Rattus norvegicus: one gene and its partners. The protein of the gene in region 1 interacts with the protein of each later gene in a pairwise test. Links are inferred from orthologs where the notes say so. Each region holds a gene or a part of one and is shown on either strand. Other genes may lie near its edges.

The links. The genes of interacting proteins can lie anywhere in the genome.
Region 2: the proteins of Ppp1cc (region 1) and Zfyve9 interact in binary tests that used the Homo sapiens proteins (3 or more experiments, as listed by UniProt). The link is inferred for Rattus norvegicus from reciprocal best matches to the Homo sapiens genes PPP1CC and ZFYVE9.
Region 3: the proteins of Ppp1cc (region 1) and Tprn interact in binary tests that used the Homo sapiens proteins (3 or more experiments, as listed by UniProt). The link is inferred for Rattus norvegicus from reciprocal best matches to the Homo sapiens genes PPP1CC and TPRN.
Region 4: the proteins of Ppp1cc (region 1) and Ppp1r15b interact in binary tests that used the Homo sapiens proteins (3 or more experiments, as listed by UniProt). The link is inferred for Rattus norvegicus from reciprocal best matches to the Homo sapiens genes PPP1CC and PPP1R15B.

What each region holds. Positions count from the first base shown.
Region 1 is NC_086030.1:40,058,009-40,063,550, forward strand, and holds the start of Ppp1cc (serine/threonine-protein phosphatase PP1-gamma catalytic subunit), read right to left. Parts: upstream 3,294-5,542; 5' UTR 3,041-3,293; coding exon 2,986-3,040; intron 1-2,985. UniProt on the Homo sapiens protein: Protein phosphatase that associates with over 200 regulatory proteins to form highly specific holoenzymes which dephosphorylate hundreds of biological targets.
Region 2 is NC_086023.1:128,754,643-128,760,357, forward strand, and holds the start of Zfyve9 (zinc finger FYVE domain-containing protein 9), read right to left. Parts: upstream 3,753-5,715; 5' UTR 3,429-3,752; intron 1-3,428. UniProt on the Homo sapiens protein: Early endosomal protein that functions to recruit SMAD2/SMAD3 to intracellular membranes and to the TGF-beta receptor.
Region 3 is NC_086021.1:28,472,396-28,478,073, reverse strand, and holds the start of Tprn (taperin), read right to left. Parts: upstream 3,753-5,678; coding exon 1,884-3,752; intron 1-1,883. UniProt on the Homo sapiens protein: Essential for hearing. Required for maintenance of stereocilia on both inner and outer hair cells. Necessary for the integrity of the stereociliary rootlet.
Region 4 is NC_086031.1:47,128,099-47,133,751, reverse strand, and holds the start of Ppp1r15b (protein phosphatase 1 regulatory subunit 15B), read right to left. Parts: upstream 3,753-5,653; 5' UTR 3,310-3,752; coding exon 1,468-3,309; intron 1-1,467. UniProt on the Homo sapiens protein: Maintains low levels of EIF2S1 phosphorylation in unstressed cells by promoting its dephosphorylation by PP1.

The DNA of each region.
Region 1 (5,542 bases):
TGAACCAAACCCTGTCTCCCGTCTGTCTCTGTAGTTGAGACTTGCCTCTAAGAACTCATGTAGAAGCTAAGCTAGCCTTGACCTCCTGACTCTACCTAAGTGCCTGCGACTACAGGTCTATGCCAGGTCATGACTTAGCCTTGGGTGGCCTAGCACTCATCTCTAAGTCAGACTGGCCTTTAACTCAGAGATCAAGCTGCCTCTGCTTCTCAGTGCTTCGATTAAAGGCATGTGTCACGATGCCCAGCTTAAAATGTATTCGTGTGTGTGAGTGTGAGTGTGAGTGTGAGTGTGTGTGTGTGTGTGTGTGTGTCTGACCCCAGTTCTGGAGTAACAAGCCTTGAGGCACCTGCTGAGTGCAGGAGCTGAGCTTGGATGGCCTGGGTGAGTAATGTACACTCTCATCCACTAAGCCATCCCTCTAGACCTCAGCCTTTGGTTTGGTTTGTGGGTTTTTTGTTTGTTTTGTTTTTGAGAGGGTCTTATTACATATAGTTGACTGGTGTGGAATCTGGTATATAGACCAGACTGGCCTCCTAATTCTTCCTTCTAGGATTAAAGGTGTGTGCTCAGTGCCGCCTTAACCTTTAAAAGACCCCCTTCTCAACTCCTTCATTCAGCCCTAGTTTGGACGATCTTACGGAAGGGTTCCACATATGAGCTCTTGCTACCCTGCCCTAGAACTTCTGGCTTTTCATGCCTCACACTCCAGTGTGGGGGTAAGCAAGCTGCCCTGACTGAAAGGTATCAATTACCAATATGGAGAAACACCGCTTCATCAGGTGACAAATCTTATCTCTCCCTTTCAGAATTAGGCCCGTAGTTCCTTTTATATCTTCTTATGTGTGTGTGCATGTGTGCAGCGCCACACTTGCTAGAGCAGTTGTGGATGGAGGGAAGGGAGAGGACAACCCTCCAGTTCTCTCCTGAATCTCATGTGGGTCCTGAAGATCAAATCGAGTCTTCAGAATTAAGGACAAGAGCCAAAACCCGCAGAGCCGTTTCTGAGGGCATTACAAAGAATGCAATCCCATCATCCTCTGATCAGATCCCTGTGGCCTCTGTCAAGCACTTCCATAAGTAAGAAACACACACATGCACTACACAGCTAGTTACTCTCAATGTTATTTAAATGGTGGCTTACTCTGTTAAGTTCAACAGAAAAGAATAAATCAGGCCAGACATGATAGTACAGCTTTGAATGCTAGCACTCAGGAGGCAGAGGCAGGCGGATCTCTGAAATCCAGGCCAGCCTTTGGGACACAGCAATATCCAGTCTCAAAATTTAAAAAGTAACTAAGAAACTATGGGAAGCCAGGTGTGGTGAAAGCTTTTAATTCCAACACTGTGGACAGCTGAGACAGAGACCAGCCAGAAAACGGGGAGATGGGGGTAGATGGTTGGGGGACTGAAGTGATGACGGTTCTTGGAGACAATCTGGGCTCCACTTCTAGTACCCACACGTGATAGTTCAGGTCTACCTGTAACTTCAGTACCCAAGGACCCAATGCCCTTTTCTTCAGCATATGATGCACATACATACATGCAGGCAAATTCTTGCAAATAGAAAATGTTTTTTTTAAAGAGGGAGAAAGGGAAGCTGATGAGATGGTTTAGTCAGTGGAAAGTCTGCCTTGCAAGCCTGACCGGCGTTTGATTCCCAGAATCCAAACAACAGGAGAGAACCTACTACACCCAACTGTCCTCTCAACCTCCTCATGTGTGCTGTGGTCTGCCTGCATCCACACACATGTGTGCTGTGGTCTGCCTGCATCCCACACATTCCACAGGAAAAAACAAGTAAGTCAGGCTTAGTGGTCTATACAATTCTAGTACTTGGGAGGAGGCAGAAGGATCAGTGTTTAACGCCAGTTCTGACTCCTGAGACCCTGTATCTAGGAGGCATGGTGATACAGAAGATGCCATCAATGAGGAGGGGGAGGAAGAAAGATCTGTGAGAGTTTGAGGCTAGCCTGGTCCACACATGGAGCTCCAGGATAACCAGGACTGGAGAGACCATGTCTCTATAAAACCAAAGCCAAGAAACCCTATCTAAACAAAACAGAACACAGCATTAGAGAGGGGGAAATGACCATTTAAAAAAAAAACAAAAAACACACTTTTTGACTTTTCTTTCAGCGACTTGAAAACATCTACCACCAGAATTAAGCAGCTGTCCACCACTCCACCAATATTTTAGGCAAAAGCAGTGAAAGCAAGAAGGTTACTGGATTCCCCTTCTCCTTAGCTTTAGCAGATACGCTGTGGGATTTGTGAGGAGCAGGTTTTCAGACCTATGTAAAATCTGAATATCGAAAGTAGGAATCCACTGCAGAGCCGTCCCCCCCGCCCCAGGTTGGACAAAAGGAAAGCTGTATTTTTAACCTTTACTCAACCACTGGAAATTCTGTGTTCCCACAGGGTGAACGGTGGAAAGGTGGCAGGTTCTACCTCGGTCCTGGCAACCCGGGGTTTTAAACCTGATTGTTAACTGCATCCTTGGTCCAGCGAGGTCTTTTTGAAGTTTCTCTTGCGAAACACACTTCCAGGATAACAGCACCTACCTGGCAGGTGCTCGCTGAACGCAGCAGCGTCCCCCTGTCCTCAGGACAACAATCTGATGAGCAGAGAGCCACAGTCACCCGGGCTGGGTCCGTGTGCGGATGCACGTTCAAGGGGAAAGAGCACTGGAGGGAGGAGGATGGCTTTGGGGTGTGGGGGGGTTGGGGGAGGAAAATGAAGGAGACGGGCTCTCATCGCACTGGGACGTCGCCCTGCCAAGTCACACTGATGGGTCCTTGGACTCCGGATAATGAGAATGTGAAAGCAAGGGCAGGGGGGTGACAAAAAGGCAGGGTCCCCAGACCGGGAGGCGCTGTGTGCGCGCCCCAGATCCAAGCGGCTCCCGAGAAAGACCGGCCTCTACTGGGCCTGGTCCCCACCGGCCCAACCCGCCGCCCGCCCGCCCGCCCGCGCGCCGCTCACCTTCCAGCAGCCGTTGGATGATACTGTCGATGTTGAGTTTATCGATATCCGCCATCGCCGTCCCGCCGCCGACCCTCCCGCAGCGGCGCCGCCGCCGGCTCGCGCCCGGGTCTCACTCGTCCTCCTTCTTCACGCCACGAGCCCCACGAGCGGTGGTGGCGGCGGCGGTGGCAGCAGCAGCCGCGGCGGGTCCCCCCCCCAGCCGCCCCGCTCCCGGCTTCCTCCTCCTCTCGCCACTGGAACCACGAGAAGAACAAAATGGCCGCCGACTCCTCAGGCCAGCCTCGGGCGGCGCACGGATGCGCGCGCGGGAGTGCAGCGGCCGGGCCGGGACTTCTTTACAGGCCCATAGGGCGCGCGGGAGGGGGCGGGGCCATCTGCAGGAGGGGGCGGGGTTTGGCCCACGGGGGGCGGAGCCCGGGCAGAGACGGTTGAGCGACGCTGCAACAGCGCGCGGGATCCTTCCGCCAAACGGGCGGGGGAAATAGACCCCCCCGTGGCGGGAGAGTGAAGTTGCAAAGTTGGCGCGCGCGAGTTGGAGATGGGCATTGACCGGCGGCTATGCGCTGCAAGGGTCACCCTCTCCTCCCGACTCTGCTGCTTTGAGACAGAAGTCGGTCGACCTGGCCGGGTGGGAACCCATTAGGGAGTCACCCCTCGGAACCAATCTGGGGTGGGGTTGCCCGTGGAGTACCCTAAAGAGGAGGAGGTTGGAGCGTTGGGGATTCAAATATTCCGGCTCATTGGTGAATAGGAAGAGCTAAATACACGGCTCCATGGTAAGAACTCTTGTCTAGTATGTGTGAGATCTTTGGTTCAAGCCCCAGCACTGGCAAGATTTAGTAATTCTGCAATAAAGCACCTAAGATCCAATATTTGGGGGAAAAAAGAAGACCCCAAGATAAGCCCAAAATGTTAATCCATCGTGAGTAGCACATTATTTCGGTAATGTGTGTGCTTCTTGTGTGCATTTCTGCAATTTTACATTTTTAGAGAGAGGTTGGGAGAATTCTGTAAGGGATGCTATCTATCTTTCAAATTGTCTTCCTTGAACTCAGAAAGTTAAATAATAACGGAGAGATTCCCCTGCATTTAGCCCGAGCTGGGTTGAATGAGCGCGCCGGAGCAGAGAAAATGGGAATTTGCACATTTCGCGCTAGGAACGCGGATGTTAGAGGCTGCTGTGCGCTCCAGGTTTCAGCACATTCAGCGGCTGCTTGCCTCTAGCTTCCTCGACTCCCCAGGGGCACCCCTTCACCCAGGGGTCCCCAACTCTGCTGCCACTCAGGCTAGCTGCATATTGGAAGAAATGCACACCCATCTGACCCATTTATCTCTCCCAGTAGCACTCCAGAGTTTACAAAGTACTCTCTCCCCCAGTCCCCATTCCAGTTCATCATGTTTCTCAAAGCAGGAAGGATCGGAAGACTCCTTTCCATGCATGCCTTGCGAGGTGGTTTCCCCATCTAGAGATTCATTTTCTGCAAGCTCTGTCTTCCCACGGCGCCGCATTGTGGTGTGGGATGCACCCATCCAGATCTATCCAGATCTGTGCCCCTCTTCTCCTGCCGGCCCGCGGGCAGTGGAACTTCAGGACTCGCCTCAGCTCCCCTCAGCCCTCTGCTCCACTTTGCCCACTCACCAACTCACTGTCCTAAGCTGTGGTTTTGCCCACCGTTACACAAATGGTCATTCATAACACCAAGGGGACCAGCTCACCGGGCATCTTGACATCCTGGAGTCGATGTCAGGCCTTGCTGTGACTATCTGTGGAGGTCAAAGTGGTCCTCACGGAGTTGTTTGGGATCGTGGACTCCTCCAGGGCAGGGTATCTTCCCCGGGACACCGTAGGGGCAGGGATATGTAAGCCAGATTCACTCGGGAGACATTTAGAGTGTCTATTCTGGGTGGAGCAGGTTGAGTAAGACAGGGAAAGCCTTTCTTTCCCTGGGGAGATTCATTTAGTGGGATGGAGAGACAAACACACACCACCCTTCCTAGTATGAACCAGAAACTGTCTCAATGTGGAAGCTATCTGAACAGCTTTTCAGGTAAAGGTGATAACCACCAAGTCTGCCAACCAGTTTGAGGTCCATCCCTGACACAGGTTGTCCTCTGACCTCTGAGCAGACATACATACAAAATAAAATGTAATGAAACATTTGACAAAAAAAAAAAAAAAAAAAAAAAAAAGCAACCTCAAAGCTGAGCTGAGTTAGATATGGCTTTAATTCCAGCACCAGGGAGGCAGAGGTAGGCAGATCTTTGTGAGTTTGAGTCCAGTTCCCGGCTGGTCAAGACTGAGAGCAAAACCTTGTCTGAAACAAAACAAAATCAGCTCATGGCGTCCTTGGTACAAGCCTAGAGATGATATATTCCCAACATTCCCATTTTACAGATAAAGTTAGGCATAGAGAGGCTGGGTTGTTTGCTGAAAGTCACACAGCGAAGTTCCAAGGGGCAGGACTAGAACTGGGGCAGCCTGAAACCACAGTCTTTTGTTTAATAAATCCTTCTATGCAGCCTTAGGAGCCCAGCAGACCTTGGCCCATACCGT
Region 2 (5,715 bases), on another chromosome or scaffold:
TGACTCAGAACCATCTATAATGGGATCTGATGCCCTCTTCTATCATGTAGACACATATGCAAATAGAGTAGTCATGTGGATAAGTAAATTTTAAAAAATAAAACAAAGAATTGTGATTCTCATCACTACAGATTATAAGGAAAAGTATATGTTTTGAGTAATATTCTTAAACTGAAGTACATGAAGTGTTTTTGTTCAGCATCTGCAACTCAGTATTTTCCAATGATAAGTACGCACCAAGAATGTTACTCTATACACTAATTCACACTGCAAGCCGAATATACAAGGATGGAATAAAAGTAAAGACCAATGTAAAACTGAAAGGAAATTAACAAGTATATCCTAGGCATATGGAATATTAGTTAAAGATGAAATGAAAAATATGTACTCATTACAATAAAAATTTTCCCATCAAATTTTAAAAAATAAATCCAAAAGTAAAACTTGTCGAGAGAAAGGAGAGAAGACAAGCTTTAAGTCACACGGATCTATACAAGATCTGGTTTTTATTTTTCTTTTCTTCAAAAGGAAAAATGGAAATGAACGTTTCTCTTTACTGTCTATAATCACTTGCACCTCACAGAAACTTTCTACTTCCCTGGGAGGGCTACTCATACTACAAGAAAACAGAAGAAGCTCAGAACCTAAGTATCTCATTGCTCTTCACGTCTGACTCCATACGCTGCACCACAGCATGCCATGCAATTAATAATCATAAAACACTTACATGCCACCCCTAGAAACAAAAGAACTTAAGCTAAAGTCTATGCAATTATCTTTTAATCAAGCTTTGTACCTTGCAACCACCAGTCTGTGACCAGCACATAAGAGGAGCCAAATAAACTTCAGTGAATGGAATAAAAGTGGCAGCTTAGCAACAGAGGAAGGAATGAGTTCATCCCTACTCATTCACTTGTTCTCTATTCACTAAGGAGTTAATATAAAACTAGTACTTCCTAGGAAACACATGCTACTGTCTCTTTAAAGAAAACATTGAATCAGGAATTGGAAAAGAAAGGAACACTGCATATGATTTTTTTCCTCAATTCTTAGAATTAAACCGGGGGACGTGCACATTCTAAGCAAATCCTCTTCCAGAGTGACCTCCCATCCCTTACAGATGCTCGTGAACGGCAAGATCCTGGGTGAGACACAGAAGCCCTAAGCAGAGACCTAGCTCATTTTACTCAGTTACAACACTTTTCTGACCCTGCCTTGTAACAGTTAATTAAACTTGTCCTGTTTCCACAATTAGCTAATTGCTAGCGGAAGCCTTGGTCATTTTTGTATTTCCCAGAACACCTAAGACAGAATCTGATATTAGTATTACCTAAAATTATATTTAAAAAATTTAGGGGTTGGGGATTTAGCTCAGTGGTAGAGCACTTGCCTAGCAAGCACAAGGCCCTGGGTTCAGGCCCCAGCTCCGGAAAAAAAAAAAATTTATACAATACTTTTTTGTATGCTGTTTTCTAAAAGCCTTCCAAATTAAGTATAATACCTAACTGCATTTTATAGACAATATTGACGTTTATCCACTGCCAAGATGAATAACCAGGTAGTTTTCCTTAATGTTCCCACTGCAGGCTCACCAGGTTTGTTTACTAAAACAACTGTTTTTCTATCTGCATTACAAAACCATTATCTGTTGCTATGAAAACCATCTGTAAGCCACTTAAGAGTGAAAGCTGTGCTAGAGAGAGGACACTTTTGATCACCCAAGCAAATCTCTTTTAACTTTTATCAATGATGTTCAAATTAAGAAGTACTAGAAACCAGGAAGGTTGATAAAAATCAAGATCTTTGAATTCTGAATTCAAATTGATCTACAATTCTGATTTAGGGGACCAGGGATCAAATATTTTAATCAGCACCCCAACTGATTCTAATATTGGTCTTTAGAGACACTAAGAATTTGATTTTTAAAACCTAAGTTAATGAACATACTTAATCAAACCAATGTTCTACAGTTAAAAACACACAAAATCTGACAAAGGCAAGGCTACACACACACAATGGGTGCTCAAAATTCTTCAACATGATGAACCTCCTTAGTCCTCAGGAGATTCCCACGCTCTGTAGGAAGGTTAAGTCAGGAGTCTTACAGGTAACTATGCATATTAGCTGATGGCTCTAACTCCGGTAATTAGTAACATATTTTATAAATTTTAAACAAATGCCTGACTGTAAAGTGGACCAGTCAGGTATTCTTAATTAATACCAAATAATAACAACAACAGCAATAATAATAATAATAATAAATTTTAAGTCACTATGAGTACTCTCACTGTAAACTTTGAATGACCATCAAAACATACTATGACATTACCAGTAATCTCTCTCCAGTTATTAAGTACATATTGAAAGCCAATATAGTACCTCTCTGCGTATCCAAATTTTCTAGTATATATACATATTTTCATGCCTTAAAGTTCTAGATATACATAAGTCCTTACAATAGAAAATAAAAATAACCTGTAATCATAAACAAGAAGCACGCCAATAACTGAGGTGTGATATCAAACTACAATCACTTTTTTTACATCAAAACAAATCATTTTTCTTGTACAACTGAGTTTATATCCCATTGTCGGCATGTCCTTGCTATTAGGTTAATTGGTTCGATTTAAAATTCTTCTTGCCATCCGTTCCCTATTTGAGTGGTACATTTTTGTACCAAGGACTGAGGCATTAAACAATTTCCTGTCTCTTTGAAGGTGGAAAAGACACCTTCATAAAAGATTTTTTTTTAACTGTAAGTGGTTAGCTAGGAAACTTAGCATGGCAAAAATGGGATGGGGCTTTCTCCAAGGCAGACCTCGCTCAGATGTAACATAGGGAGGAAAGGATGAGCTAGCGGCAGGTGATGAAATTTCACCTCAAAAAAGGACGCAAAAGGCTGTGTCTCCATCAAGAGAGGCGTGAATGCTACTCCTGGAGTATCTGGGGCTCCGAGTGCCCGCACTCTCTGCACCTCAATACTCACCACTCCCCACCCAGGGGTTGGCTCCGCGGGACTCAGTAAGCCGCGCAGGCAAGCCAAAGCTGTTTGCAAACAAGCCGTCCTTTGCCTCCCTCCGGGATGTGCACTCAGGGCCCTGGGAAGGAAGGCACGCACGGCCCCGCCCGGGACAAATGCGAAGGGCACCGGTGCGGCCGCCAGCCCAGTCTTCACGTACCCGGCCGCGCCGGAACCCAGGCCCAGCTAAGGGCTTCCCGGCGGCGCGGGGCCTAGTCGCCCCCCGCACGCCTTCAGTCTCCCGGGGGACCCACGGAGAAAGGGCCGAGGCCCCAGAGCTTCGGGGTGCCCGCGGTGGCTGCGGTGGCCGCGGTGGCAGGACGCTCCGTCCGCCCGACCCGAAAGCAGGCGCCAGGACCCCTGGGCGGCGCAAGCAGGCGAGCCCCGGACCGCGGCGCGCCACACTCACCGCCTCTCCATGGCCCGGGGGTCGTCACTCAGCCGAGAGCCTCCTCCACAGCAGGGCTCCGCCGCGAAGCCTCGCACTCCTGAGGGGGCTGCGGTTTCTGCGGCCGGGGACGAGGCCCAGCGCCGCTCCAGTCGCCTCAGCCACGCGGGGCTGGGGGAGCGCGGCCGGGGGCGCAGCTTACGGCGGGACGACCGAGGCGCTGCAGGCGGACGGGCTCGGCGAAGCCTCGGGCGCCGCGGTGGCCGCTTCAGCCGCCCGCGCCGCTGGGCCACAGCGCCCCCTGGACCCCACGTCCCGCTACGGCGCCGGGACTGCGGCGGCCGCACCGGGCACGAGCGGCAGGGAACGCGAGGCAACGCGGCCTGGGGGTGGCGGGGCCCGGTGCGCCTTGCGCCGCCCGCCCGCCTGCGGCCGGTGGCCCGCCCCTGACGCGGCTTCCCGGGAGCCGGAAGCTGTCGGCTCCCCCCACCCCACCCCCGTCAGACCCCAGCACCTTTTTCTTCCCTCCCGAAGGTATGTGAATGCAGAGCGGGAATGTGAGGGAATCTCGGTTCATTTCTCGCGCAGACAGGGGGTCCCTTTTAATCCCCTCAGTGCGTCAGTATGAAAGGAGAGTGACCCAGAACAAATCTCTTTTTTCTTTTTCTAAGCACATGCACAATTCCTTCCCAAAACAGATAAAGAAATAATCTTTGACCTCAACTTTTTTGGAGCTACTGTGCAGATTCACTACAGAAATTGGCTACAGAACCCCTTAACGCCTAACCTTCCCCACAAAATGGGGGGGGGGGGGAGGGGGGAAACAAAAAAAATAAACGCTGACCAAAAGAAGAGAATAACCAACGGGTTGTCCTGAAATTGATAAACAACTTAAAGGTAAGAAAAGAATCATCCTTTTACTAACTTAACCCTGGCCACCACCTCTATTATTTCTGTGCCACCCACCCCTTACCAAATCCTAGGTAAGACTCTGAAAGAAGGAAATTGTGGTTGTATTAAAGGCTATGTAGTCATTTTGTTTACAAATGCCGCCCGTTTGATCTTGCCCAGCCTCTGGGTTGCTAACAGAATGCCACAACCAAAAACAAAAGACTATCAGAAGGCAAATAGGAAAAAAGAAAAAAAAAATTAAATCCCCTGGTCCCTCAAATTCCCAAATGTGGTGTTTGTTTGTTTGGTTGGTTAGTTGGTTTTGTTTCTGGGTGCTATACTGGAACAAGCAAGGACTTCGGAGTCAGGCAGATCCTGATACCACTGGTTTCAGTTACATCATGTAGAGTTTTATGACCCTGGCAAGTTATGTAATATTTTTGAACCTCTGTTTTCTCCTGCCTGCCTAGCTGGTTGTGAAGGTTAGGGACAGAAGGACCGGCCTACAATTACAATTTTCGTTAATTCCAGAGCACCCTAACACTTAGTCATTCTTAATCTGGATATTGTTCCCATCTGTGTTTGTTTGTCCCACCTCACTCCTCCACCCCTTTTGTGTGTGTGTGTGTGTGTGTGTGTGTGTGTGTGTGTGTGAGTGTGTGTGTGTGTGTGTGTGTGTGTGTGTGTGTTCCTATCAAAAGGTCATTCTCATCATTCCTGGTCTAAGTGAAATTTCCCTGAATTTCACTAGTGCATTTATGTAACATTCTCCTCTGAAGAAGAGAACCTAATATACTGGATCCTCTGACATTCTACCGTACAGCAGATATCAAAATAGAACCAGTACATTTTTTTCTGCATAAAAAATATTATAAGCAATCTTGGCTTTACCTTAGGTTATGGCCTAATAGTAAGTAACAAGACATGAGAAAATTACATAAGAACTTCGGGAACCGTTAAAGTAATAATTGAGCAGCCACTCAGAGAAAATATAACCTAGCAGTTCTTTTTCTCATCAATGAAAGCTGTTCCTGTACAGTCCCAAGTCTGCCTTTGCCACATAATTCTGAGTCACATTAAAAAAAAAAAATCACTATCCCCTTTTTGTAACGACAGAAACCAGCTCAGAAGGTGATTCATCCTCACAACATCTCTATGAATTCAGTACCTTGGTACCACCGAAGGACATCCAACATAAAGAAAAGCTGCAAGTATACCCCATAACCATAGGGGTCTCCCATCTGATAGCAATCTTTTCTGAAGTATTAAAACATTGTTAGAGTGAGTTACTATGGATATCATTTGCTCTTTAAGATGGGGCCCTTTAATTTAGACCAGCTTGGCACCCTGACATTGGCACTGTCCTTTCCAAGCCCAGCTCACTGCCGCTGCAGAAAACCTACATTTGTTTGTGAAT
Region 3 (5,678 bases), on another chromosome or scaffold:
AGCAGCAATGCCACCAGGTCCCAGTCATGGTGGGGAGGGAAACCAAAGTGTGCAGTAGTTGCCTGAAGGTCCTCTGGGACCACCTACTCCCACAGGAAGAAACAGGAGTCTCACCAGGGCAATTACTTGGGTTTCAGAAGGAGCACCCTGGGTTTTCCTGGGGGCTGTAGGTAGGAGAAATGTCAGGGAAGGACAAAGTACATGAGGGCCTCACCCTGCACACTGCTCTGAAGGTTGGGCAGCTTTGTGCCCTTCCCCCTCCCACATTCTGTGTCTTGCTGGGCAGGGCAGCTGGTGCATACATAGGCAGGATGGCACAACCAGCAGGTTGTGCTGCTACAGAAAGCCCTGCCCAGGCCACTTGGTCACAGGAAGCATCAACCATTTGGACCCCCAACTCCCTCCGTCTGGCCCAGACAGCCAGGATGCTGGCCAGGGTCCTACCCCAGCCCTGCTAGCCTTTAGGCCTTGTCCTGCTTTAGTGTTTGAGATCTGCATGAACAACTGTACCTGGCAGCCCTGCCCTTCTCACTTTAACCCAGCCAAGGGTGATTCTCGCAGCTGTCCTAGACAGGGACAGGAGAGCCAGGCCCTTAGGAGAAGCTTTTCAGTTTCAAGAAGCCAAGTGTCCCAGGATAGGAGCAAGGCTTTGGAAATTGGAACATGGACTCAGCTCCTGTGCTACGCGCTCCATGGCCTCGTGAAGCTCCCCAGCCTCAGCTTCCTCAGCTGTATAGGCTTTCACCACTTCACTTGTTCAACAAGCTTGGGGACGGCCACCTCACAGACATCAGGATCAGGAAGCAGCGAAAGATAGGGAAGGGCCTGGATCAATCTGCTCCAAGGACTTGGGGTAAAGAGCACAGGTGAGAGTGGGAGAGACATGGTCTTATGTGGAAAAAAAAAATGTTACAGCCCTGAGTCTCCACCAGAATCCCCACCAAAATCCCCCCGGATGCCTGACATGGCAGGTGGAATTGGCAGGAGAGATGATGGCAAGGCCAACTGTGGCAAGAAACAAAATGTAAGGGAAAAAGAGTGAGGAGGTGACATGGCTTAGGACAAAAAGGTCTCCCCAAAAAACAGCATTAACCAGGGTGAATGTAAATGTAGACACTGCAGGTGCCATCTCAGCAGAAGGGAAAGGTGCACTTCCCTGTGCCTGCTGACTAACAGTCATGTGGGGTAGGTCTTGGAATTTGCCCCAGGGGACAAACACAGACCCTGGAACAATCAGGAAGAATCGGAGGAATGATTTCCTTGTGCCCAGAGGGCTCCAAGCCACTGGCCAGAGCTGGCCAGGAAATATAGCTCACCCTGGTCATTTGAGCCTCTAGGGGATTATTCTTGAGTTTCTCTGCCCAAGGCCCTGTTGACCATGTCTGGCATGAAGCCTGGGTTCTCAATCCATGCTTGCAGAAGGAAAAGGCCTGCCAAGCTCTGGCTCCTGGACCTTCCAGGGTGCTGAGAACTCCCTCCAACTGGCTTATGGGCTGTGTGCCCAGACTGACCTCAAAGTGAGGAGGACCTGCAAAAAAACTGATTGGCCTTATCCTTACTATGTACAGCCAGGCTCTGGAGATCTGTCCAAACTAAACTCCACAGGAATATGCCAGCTACCTCCAAATCAAAGGCCAGGCCAGAGTCAACGGGCTAGGCTATTCCTGAAGGTAGACGGCAAAACTACCCTTTTCCAAAAGGATGCTGGAACCCTGCACTCCCTGGCTACTTCTCCCAAATCTCTGAAGTAAACAGTAGGCTAACTACAGCCTGGGGCTGTCAAAGTTCACAGAGGCCCTGGACTGGGCCCAAGCACACAGCCCCATTCTCCTGTGATTTATGGAGAAGGCATCTGTGCCAGCAGCCCTCTCCTTACCACTTACCTTTTTTCTGGAGGAGCCAGCCTTGATGAGGCAGGACTTCTGCAGGGCCAGGTAACCACCGATCACCTCAATCTCATTCACAGTGGGGTATCGTTTCTTTAGGGCATTCTCCAGGGTAGTGTGGGGTCCCGAGAGGCTATCAGCATCCTGTTCCTCTGCCCCTTGCTGGAACTGCCCATTAGTCTGACTTAAGTGTGGCTCCTGAAGGGTCCCTGGCTTCCTCTTGGGCACTACTGTGAAAGTGTTGCTACCTCGGTTGAGGAGCTCTGAGGTGTGCCCAGGTGTGGAAGGGTGCAGGTGGTACTGGGAAGGCACACCAACTGCTGAAGAGGGCAGTTTGGCTTCTTGAAAGGCCGCCTCCTCTGAGTCTACTTCATCAATGAAGGTGACTGGAAGTCCTGGCCTCACAGGCTCCTGGCCATTCTTGGTCAAGCCAGGAACCCCCAAGCCTTCAGCCGGCTCAGCTTCAGTAGTGGCTGGTAGAAATGGAGGTGGTGAGGCTGGCCTCTGCCTCCTAACAGACTTGTCTGTGTCAGAAATGGCTGGCCTGGGGCAGCCTCCCTCCCTAACTGCCCACTGCATCTCAGCAGCCAAGGAACTCTTCTCTAGGGCAGGTGCACCATCCACTGTAGACACCAGCTGGGATCCGAGCCCCTGGCTCTGAGAGGCCCAGCCCACCTCCCCCTTTGGCTCCTCGAATTGCCTCCCCGCCGCCGAAGGATAGTTCCCAGGGGCTTTGCGCTTGGGGATCAACACGAAGGAGTTGCGGGAGTTCACTCTGAGGTTGGCCAGGGCTCTGGCCTGAAGGTCCCCAATTGGGATAGTTTCCATGTCTGGCTTGGAGGATGGCCTTATTTCGAAGGAGTCATTGGCGCTGGTGGCAGAGGAGACCCACTGGCGCTGACTGGGAGTGGCACTGGCTGGGCTGGGCGCCAGGAAGGCAGGGGGCCCAACTGGAGTGGCACTTGGGGTCCCAGGGCTTGGGGGTGGGTGGAGGGAGGGTTCCTTTGACTCCACCTTTGGCTTCCACTTGCCCGGTACAGGCGGAGAGCCCGACAACCCATTGGCAGGGCCGGCAGGGGATTCCTGAGTCATGGGTCCATTAGAAAGCGAGCGATTGACCGCACTGCCGGGCAGGCCTCGGGGGTGGACAGTGAAGGAGTTGCTGCCGGTCTTTTGTAGGAAGTCGCTGCGCCGGGCCCCGGGGCCGGCAGTGCCGTCGGGGTGCGCGGGCTCGCAACAGGCAGAGCGCTGACCCGCGCGCTGGGCAACGGGGACAGGCGAAATAGGGGGTGCGGGCTGGCTAGGGAGCACCGGTGGGGCAGGAGCCAACGACCGATTGGTAGGAGCGCGCGTGGCAGCAGATGCAGGCGCCACGGGAAGCTGCGGGAGCGCAGGGCGGAAGCGCTCTGGGCTCCCGCGGCGGCGGGGCGCAGCAGGCGAGTCGAACTTTTCTAGCAGGCGGCTGACCCGGCCGGGCTGTGGCTCCTCGTACACCACTACCTCGGCAGCGCGGATGCTCGAAGCGGGCGGCACAGCGGGCGGGAACCCTGGCGCTGACTCGATGATGAGGATGTTGTCGGCTCGAATGGTCCGCACGCCGGGCACACGACAGTACAGCTCCAGCAGCTGCTGAGCGGGCCGCGCCCCGCGCCGCCTCTCCGATTCAAGTCGCATGAACGGGTTCTGGCTTAGTGGACCCAGACTCTCCGCCAGCACCAGCCGCTCGTTAGGCCCATCCGGTGCCGCTCCAGATCCCGGGCCTCCGCTCAGAGCGGCCAGTTTAGCTCGCCTCCGCTCAAGTATCTCCCGTTTCCAGGCGGGCATCACGGTTCGCGGCCCCGGATCGAGCCGCCCCAGGCCGGCCATGCTGCGGCCGTGCGGCCGCGACAGGACTGCACGGCGATCGCGCGTCGGACTGACTCTCAGCTACCTGCCTCAGTACCGCGCCGTGCCACGCCCCCCTTGGTAGCCGCCAATTGGGCAAGCGCGCTCGGACCTAAGGGCAGGACTACCTACCTATAGCAGAAGCAAACAGCCCAGTTGACTGGAGAATACCCACTAAACCCCTCCCCTTTAGCATTTTCATTGGACTACAACCGGCACTAGTCAGACCCTATTGGTGAAAGTCTGTGGACACCCAGTGAAGCGCTGCTCAATGGCTGCTCCTCACTTCCGCCTTTGCGCTCTAAATCCGGCGCCTTGGATCCCAATTAAAGTAGGGCTTGTAATTAAAGCAGGTATCGCCTAGCGGACCCTTGCGACCTAGGTGACCTTGGCACAGTTCTGACTTCAGTATACAAGCTGCAAGGGCCTTCCACCTTTAGGCCCAGGCTCCGCACCAATCTGGAGTCCTTGAACCGCTGTGGGCAGGCAGCCAAGGTTCCCTTTCGGACCTAGAAATGCTGCTTCTGAGATCCACTCGGGGAATAAAGAGTGTATTTTCGAGAATCTTGGTTTTGTAGGTCCCAGACTTACTGCGTGTATGAATATCTGGTTTACAGCTTGCCACCCACGGTTCTGCCAGGTATCCATTATGTGTAAGAGGCAAGGAAGCAGCCTTGTTTCTGCGCGCGCGCGCGCGCGCGCGCGCGCACGCACACACACACACACACACACACACACACACACACACACACACGTTACACATTTAGGCAGTTCTGTCATGCAGAGAAGTACAAAAACAAGGGTAAAGGTCCCACTAACTCCTATTGAAACGCATACCTCCAAGAATGGGTAGGGGGGTAGTGACTCTGAAGGGTTACAACCTCACAGCTGATAAGTAGTGAAAACTTTCTTTAGGTAGAGCTGCATAATGCGGCTCCCTCCCCAGCATACACAGTAGGGCAACTGCTTGGAGGGATTAGAAAATTGGAGGCTGCTGACTGGCGGTGTGTTTTCCATTCACCTGCCTTACAGTCCACAGCCAGCTGAGGCCTGGCACCGCTGCCCGCCGTGCCTCTTGCCTTCCAGGGACTCTGCCTCATGGAATGTGGGCCTTTGCAAAAACAGACTCAAACTAGGGGTAGGTGCCTTAGGCTTCTGGGTTGAATGGCAAATCTACAGCTCACACCACCTTCCTTTATCTTTAAGTTGCCTGCTGGTCCACTCCATCAATATAAACTGGAGATTATAAATGAATTTCAGGGTTGGAGAGACAGCTCAGAGTTTAAGAGCACTGACTGCTCTTCCAGAGGTTCTGAGTTCAAATCCCAGCAACCACATGGTGGCTTACAACCATCTGTCCTGGGATCTGATGCCCTCTTCTGGAGTGTCTGAAGACAGCTACAGTGTACTCATAGTAAATAAATAAATCGGGCTGGAGAGGTGGCTCAGCGGCTAAGAGCACTGACTGCTCTTCCAGAGGTCCTGAGTTCAATTCCCAGCAACCACATGGTGGCTCACAACCATCTGTAATGAGATCTGATGTGTGTGTCTGAGGACAGCTACAATGTACTCATATATAATAAATAAATAAATCTTAAAAAATAAGGGCTGGAGAGATGGCTCAGCCGTTAAAGGCTAGGCTCACAACCAAAAAATAAAATAAATAAATCTTAAAAAAAAAAACCCACATTGCTAACTTACCCTGTAGTGTCGGAGATTGGGTCCAGAGCCTTCTGCATGCTGGGTGAACTCTCTACTACTGAGCCACAGTCTCAGCTTCAAAGAGAACTTCTTCAAAGAGAAGTTCTTCAAAGAGAACTTCTAGTACTCATGCCTTTTATACTCAAATTCTAAATTACCAAAATAAAACAGGAACACACAAAACAAAATCTAAGAAATGTTACAAGG
Region 4 (5,653 bases), on another chromosome or scaffold:
CATCTAAGTGTGGTTCTCGCTCAGACAACCATCTTAAACTAAACTGAGACATCAGGTTGCCCTTAGCTATTCAAAGGAATATGATAATGATAATATGGAAATGATTTATGAGCTTTATTTACTCATTTTTTTGGTAACTTGGGCTGGCTGTGTAGCTGGCTTAGTGGCAAGATGAATGTTTAATGTGCAACAGGTCCACAATTTCAACCCTCACCATCACAAGACAAAACAATTCTACACAGATCTTAGTATCCCCACTGGGTAAGAAAGTAGATCAGGGGCGTGAGAGAGCCCCTTAAGTCTAGTCTGGTTGCCCTACCCCACCGACCTCCATCTCAGCCCTAATCGGAGCAGTGCAGAGCAAAGCCGAGAGGTCTTCAGGGCCAAGTGCTGTGTTTCTTGCCTGTTCTCTGAATAGCAGTTTGTCTATCCTGAAGAGGATAATGAGAGCTGATCAAACCTCATTATAAAGAATACATTTATAATTATAAACAAACATAGAGGCTCTCTCATCCTAAAATCTACTCTTTAGCATGACTTATTATGCCACTATAGGAAGATTCAAGATTACTACCATTTAGATATGTCCCAATAAAGTTTCTAGGAAAGCTGGGTCCTTCAGACCCAGGAGCTCGCTCACTCACACACCGTCCATTTGCCAGGCACTGGAGCTGCAGCTGAGTAAGCAGTAAGAGAAGTTAAACAGTGACTCTAAACATACCATACCTGCCCCCATGAAGTTTTAAGCAAGCCCATAGGCTCACAATTATCCCTGCACTTGGGAAACTGAGACACCAGGCACAAAGGCCAGCCTGGACTTCACAGTGAGGTCTTGTGTTATATAACACGACCTAAAAAAACAAGCTGTGCTGGAAGTTCTGGCCAGCTTGGAACACAACTGGCTGAGGGCAGGGTGTTTGTTTTATATATGTATTTATTTAGAGATAAAGTCCCACTCATACATCTTTGGCTAGTCTGGAACTCACTAGATAGACAGACCAGCCTAGACTCCCAAAACTCCAAAAACCCCACTTGCTTCAAAAGTGCTGGCATTACAGGCACACACCACAATAACTCCTTCTGTGCAAACAACTAGACAAGCCTAATTTGCTACTTGATAGTATTATTCTTCTGGATTCCAATGGACAAGAATAAAGACACAATAGCCAAGAAAATGAAACATTACATGCTCCCAAATAAAATACATGCAAACCACTCTAATCTTCAGGTTCTACCAACCAAAATGACAACCCTAGTAACATCTAATGCTGGCATCTTCCATTTGGACAAAAACATTTCTCTATATTGGGAAGAAGGGTCACACTTGAGTATTTCAGAATTCAAGCACATGAACTCAGAGGTCTTCCTCAAAAATATGCACAACTATGCCTCCACAAGAAAAGTTATTCTTCTACTGTAACCATATCAAAATACAACAAATTATAAGTCATGTAAATGGAAACAAACCTTTTTTCTCTTGATATGGGTGTATCTTTCTCCAGAAAGTGCCTCACCCAGCCCACAGCCTGGACAATTGTCTTCTTGGCTCTCTAACAGTTGTGCCTCACAAGAAAGTAAGGTCTGATGCCCAGAAAAGACCACTGTGGCCTCAGAGGATGCCTGACTGCCTTTCCAGCTCTTCCCTGACGTTTGGAAAGGAGCCTTAAAATTTAAAAGGTTGTAGGGGTCCTCAGAATTACAGAAAGAGTTCCACAATCTAAGATTTTCTGCTTCATCTGCACTGGATTCCCAGTCATCCTCCTCCCCGGAACTCTGGTCAGGGGTCTGGGGAAGGAGTGTGGCCTGAGAACTCCCTACATCAGAGTTGCCAGACCAGGACTTCTCTGAATCAGATGGGTCTCTGGGGGCAATTCTGGCAGCAGTCTGAATTGTGGCTGTAAAGTTCTGGGGGTTGTAAGGATCTACACTGTAGAAAGAGTTCCAAAGGTGAAGCCCTTCGGAGTCTTGTTCCCTGTCTGATTCAGATAGGGAGCCATCACTATCAAAACCATCATCCTCAGGTTCCTCATCCCAATCCTCACTTTCAGAATCGGAGCTGGTGTCCAAGTCACTGGAGGCTCCTCCCAAAATATAATCTATCAGTTTGTTGGTACAAGCTGGTCTGGTAGAGACTGGAAGGTTACCCCCTATGTCTGAGTAGTCTTCACATTCTTTTTGCACACTTAACTCACAAGACAGACTGCTTCCCTGGGGGCTCTGTAAAACTTCCTCAACCACCAATTCTACTTTTTTCTCAGTGGGCTGCGGGCTGGCTCCAGCAGGGGAGACTGCCTGTGCTGCCTTATCTGTGCAATGTTGCGGATCCATCCGGAGAAGGCAGTGCTCCTCCTCCAGGCTATGATAGCCATTGTCTTGGTCAGGGGTGGGTAACTCTTGCCCCTTGTTTGCCTGAAGGAATTCTAGTCGTTTCATCCGAAGGTGGTGGATTTCTGGCAGGCCTTCTGTAGAGAGGGGCGGACACCTCCGCCAGGCAGTTGCCGACATCTCAGCACACAGCGGCTGAGGGTGACAAGCATCTTCAGAAAGGTAGCAGCTCTCTGGGGATAGTGTTCGGAAATCCACAAGTTGGCCACCTCCGACGCTGTTCTGACAGCGCAGCTCTAACTGGGGAAGGCAGTCCAGGTAGGAAGGGTTCAGGAGATAGGAAACTACCTTGAAATTGCCCAAGCTCTGAGTACTCAGAGGCCCAGAGGATGAAGAGCCAAGTTCTCGGTGGGAGACTAGACCGGTTTGAAGACTACCGGGCAGCAACTCCACTCCCCACAGCTGCTGCTCCAAGAGGAAAGTGTGCGCTGTAGAGTCTAAAGCTCTTTCCTGGGCCTTGAATTTCAATTCCAGGTCTGAGGACGAGCACTGCCCCTGGAGTCCCTCCTCTAGCCAATCAAGAGAACTGACAACCAAGTCTTCCGAAGAAGAGTCCAGCCGCAGAGAATTCAAAGATTTCTGCACTGTGGGAGCGGCTGATTCCTCCCGTCCTCTCAAAGCTCTTAGAGCGCTGTAACTTGCTGAAAAATCTAACCATCTGGTCGGAATCATGCCACCGAAAAGCTGACTCCAAATAAGCAGCTTCTGGAGCAAGCTAGGGAGCAGGGCAAGGAGCTGGGAAAGCAATTTGGTCCAGTACCTGGTCCGAGGCTCGGGCCGGGCGGAGACCTCGAGATTTGGTCGAGAAGAAGGCTTCGGGAACTCGGAAGTGCAGGCGTGCGAACGCCGAAGGAAGGGCAGCCGGAACCAGGAGCCCATCCGAGAGGTAGGCCGCTTCCGAGCCCTGTGTGTTCCCGTCTCCATCTCCTTTCCTTGGCAACTTCTCGGGCACGAGTACGGAGCTCAGCGGCGTCAGAGCGGGCAGGATCCGAGGCCTACACAGTCTTAGCCTTGCCCAGACACGGAGTGGGTACTGCATTCCGATTCCCGCGCCAGCAGAGGCCCAGAGAGCGGCGGCTTCCGTAGCGAGCGATGTACCGTACGGCCGGGCGGCTCGCGCAAGCGGTGGCGACCGCGACTACGTCCATCTCGGCGAGAATGGAGGCGCCCTAGTCCGTGTGAGACCGCTCCACCATAGAGAAGACCCCTCACACGGCGGCGGCGGCAACGTTTCCGGAGACCGCGGCCCACACGGAGGCGCGAAATACACAGACGTTAGGGCTGGGTGGCGGGCGAGAGCGAAAGGAAGCGAAGCTCAAAATGGCCGCAGCCGCAAACCCGGAAGCTGCAAGACGAAACGAACGACCGAGGGCGTCTACTCCTACGGCCCAGCGCCGCCTAACGTCTTTTGCTGAACCCCACCCTCAGCTCCCGGGAGGCGGGCTTGCCTCACCCTCGTGCGTGGCCGCTGATTGGCTGAGCCTGCAGTCCCTGTCGGCTTCCTTACTCAGGGCAGAGCAGGCTCGCACGCGGCAAGTTGCATCAGCCGGACCTAGGATATGCGCATGCGCAGTCAGTTCGTTCTGGTCTCCTAGGAGACTCCGCGCTCCACCCTCTGGGTTAAAGGGAAGGACTGGGGGAGGTGAGTGGGTTTCAAGAGAACCTGAGAATTCCCCGGAGCCCTTTTTTTTACGGATCGGGTACACTAGGCAACGTACCGGATTATCTGATACGTGTATCGGTCTTCTCGAATTAAGGGCTTAAGGAGACAGGAGTTAAATGATGTGTGCACTGCTGTATAACCAACTTGTCCAGGACACAATCACCCCTAGTGAATAACAGTAGTGAGAAACTCAAGTGACAACTGAATCACTCATGCTTTCCTGTCCCCTCTGCTTTAGGATTTCTAAGTCTAACATGGCCTGTGGCCTAATTTGGACGTCTTTCAGCGTCCATTTGACAAAATACATACCACTCAGATAAGAAAAACGTGGTGTTACTGACAAGCTGAAGTCACAGGTGGGAAGAGTATTCGTAACTGTTAACTCAGCTTCTCAGAAACAGCGACTTCAATTCAATTTCCTCAAGAACCACAGAGTAGGGGCTGGAGAGATGGCTCAGGGGTTAAGAGCACTGGCTGCTCTTCCAGAGGTTCTGAGTTCAAATCCCAGCAACCACATGGTGGCTCACAACCATCTGTAATGAGATTTGATACCCTTTCTGGCACGTCTGAGGACAGCTACAGTGTACTCATCTATAATAAATAAATAGTTTCAAAAAAAAAAAGAACCACAGAGTATAGCGCCCAGTGAAGGAAAACACATTGGTGACTTTTGTCATCTGAAAAATATTGGCTGGGGCTGGAGAGATGGCTCAGTGGTTAAGAGCACCCGACTGCTCTTCCAGAGGTCATGAGTTCAATTCCCAGCAACCACATGGTGGCTCACAGCCATCTGTAAAGGGATCCGATCCTCTCTTCTGGTGTATCTGAAGACAGCTACAGTGTACTTATATATAATAAATGAATAAATCTTTAAAAAAAATAAAAAAATATTGGCTGATTAATTTTAATTGCTGTATTAAGGGAAGGATTTTGTTTGTCTGAAACAGATTTTACTCTGTAGCCCAGGCTGGCCTCAAACTAACCACAATCTTTCCTGCCTCAGCCTCCCAACCAAGTACTGGCTGTGAATTTGGTCTCTTTCTTTTCCTTTTCTTTCTGTCCATTCCTTTCCTTCCTTTTTATTTTTTCTTACTTATCTATTTATTTATTTGATGTGGGGGTTTCTCTACAGAACCTTTGTTTGAGGCAGGGTCTCTCTGCAGAACCCTGGCTGTCTGGAACTGGCCTTACAGACCAGGCTGTCCTTAAACTTAGAGACATCAGCCTGTATCTGCCTCTCTGGCATGGAGATTAAAGGTGTGAGCCACCACGCCCGGGTCTTTAGTTCACTTTCTTATTCTCATTTTAACTCACAGTGCAAAGACCAAGTGGCTATCCCAGAGGGTAGTAGTTAAAACTAAGAAGGAAGCTTGTTGGGGCACTGGGGGGAGGGGCAGCTGATCCTCTTTCCTGAAACCAAGAGTTTCTCCTGTTTACACCACCCACAATATCTTATTACTTATGTCTGGAAGTAACTGGTTTCTTCATCCTAAAAGCTTTAGAAAAAAATCGTATCAGTAATGAGTTCATTTACATAGTAGCAAGGAAATCCAAGTATGCAAATGAATTACTGCCAGCCTCAGTTCCTTTTGGGGTGAAGCTGAG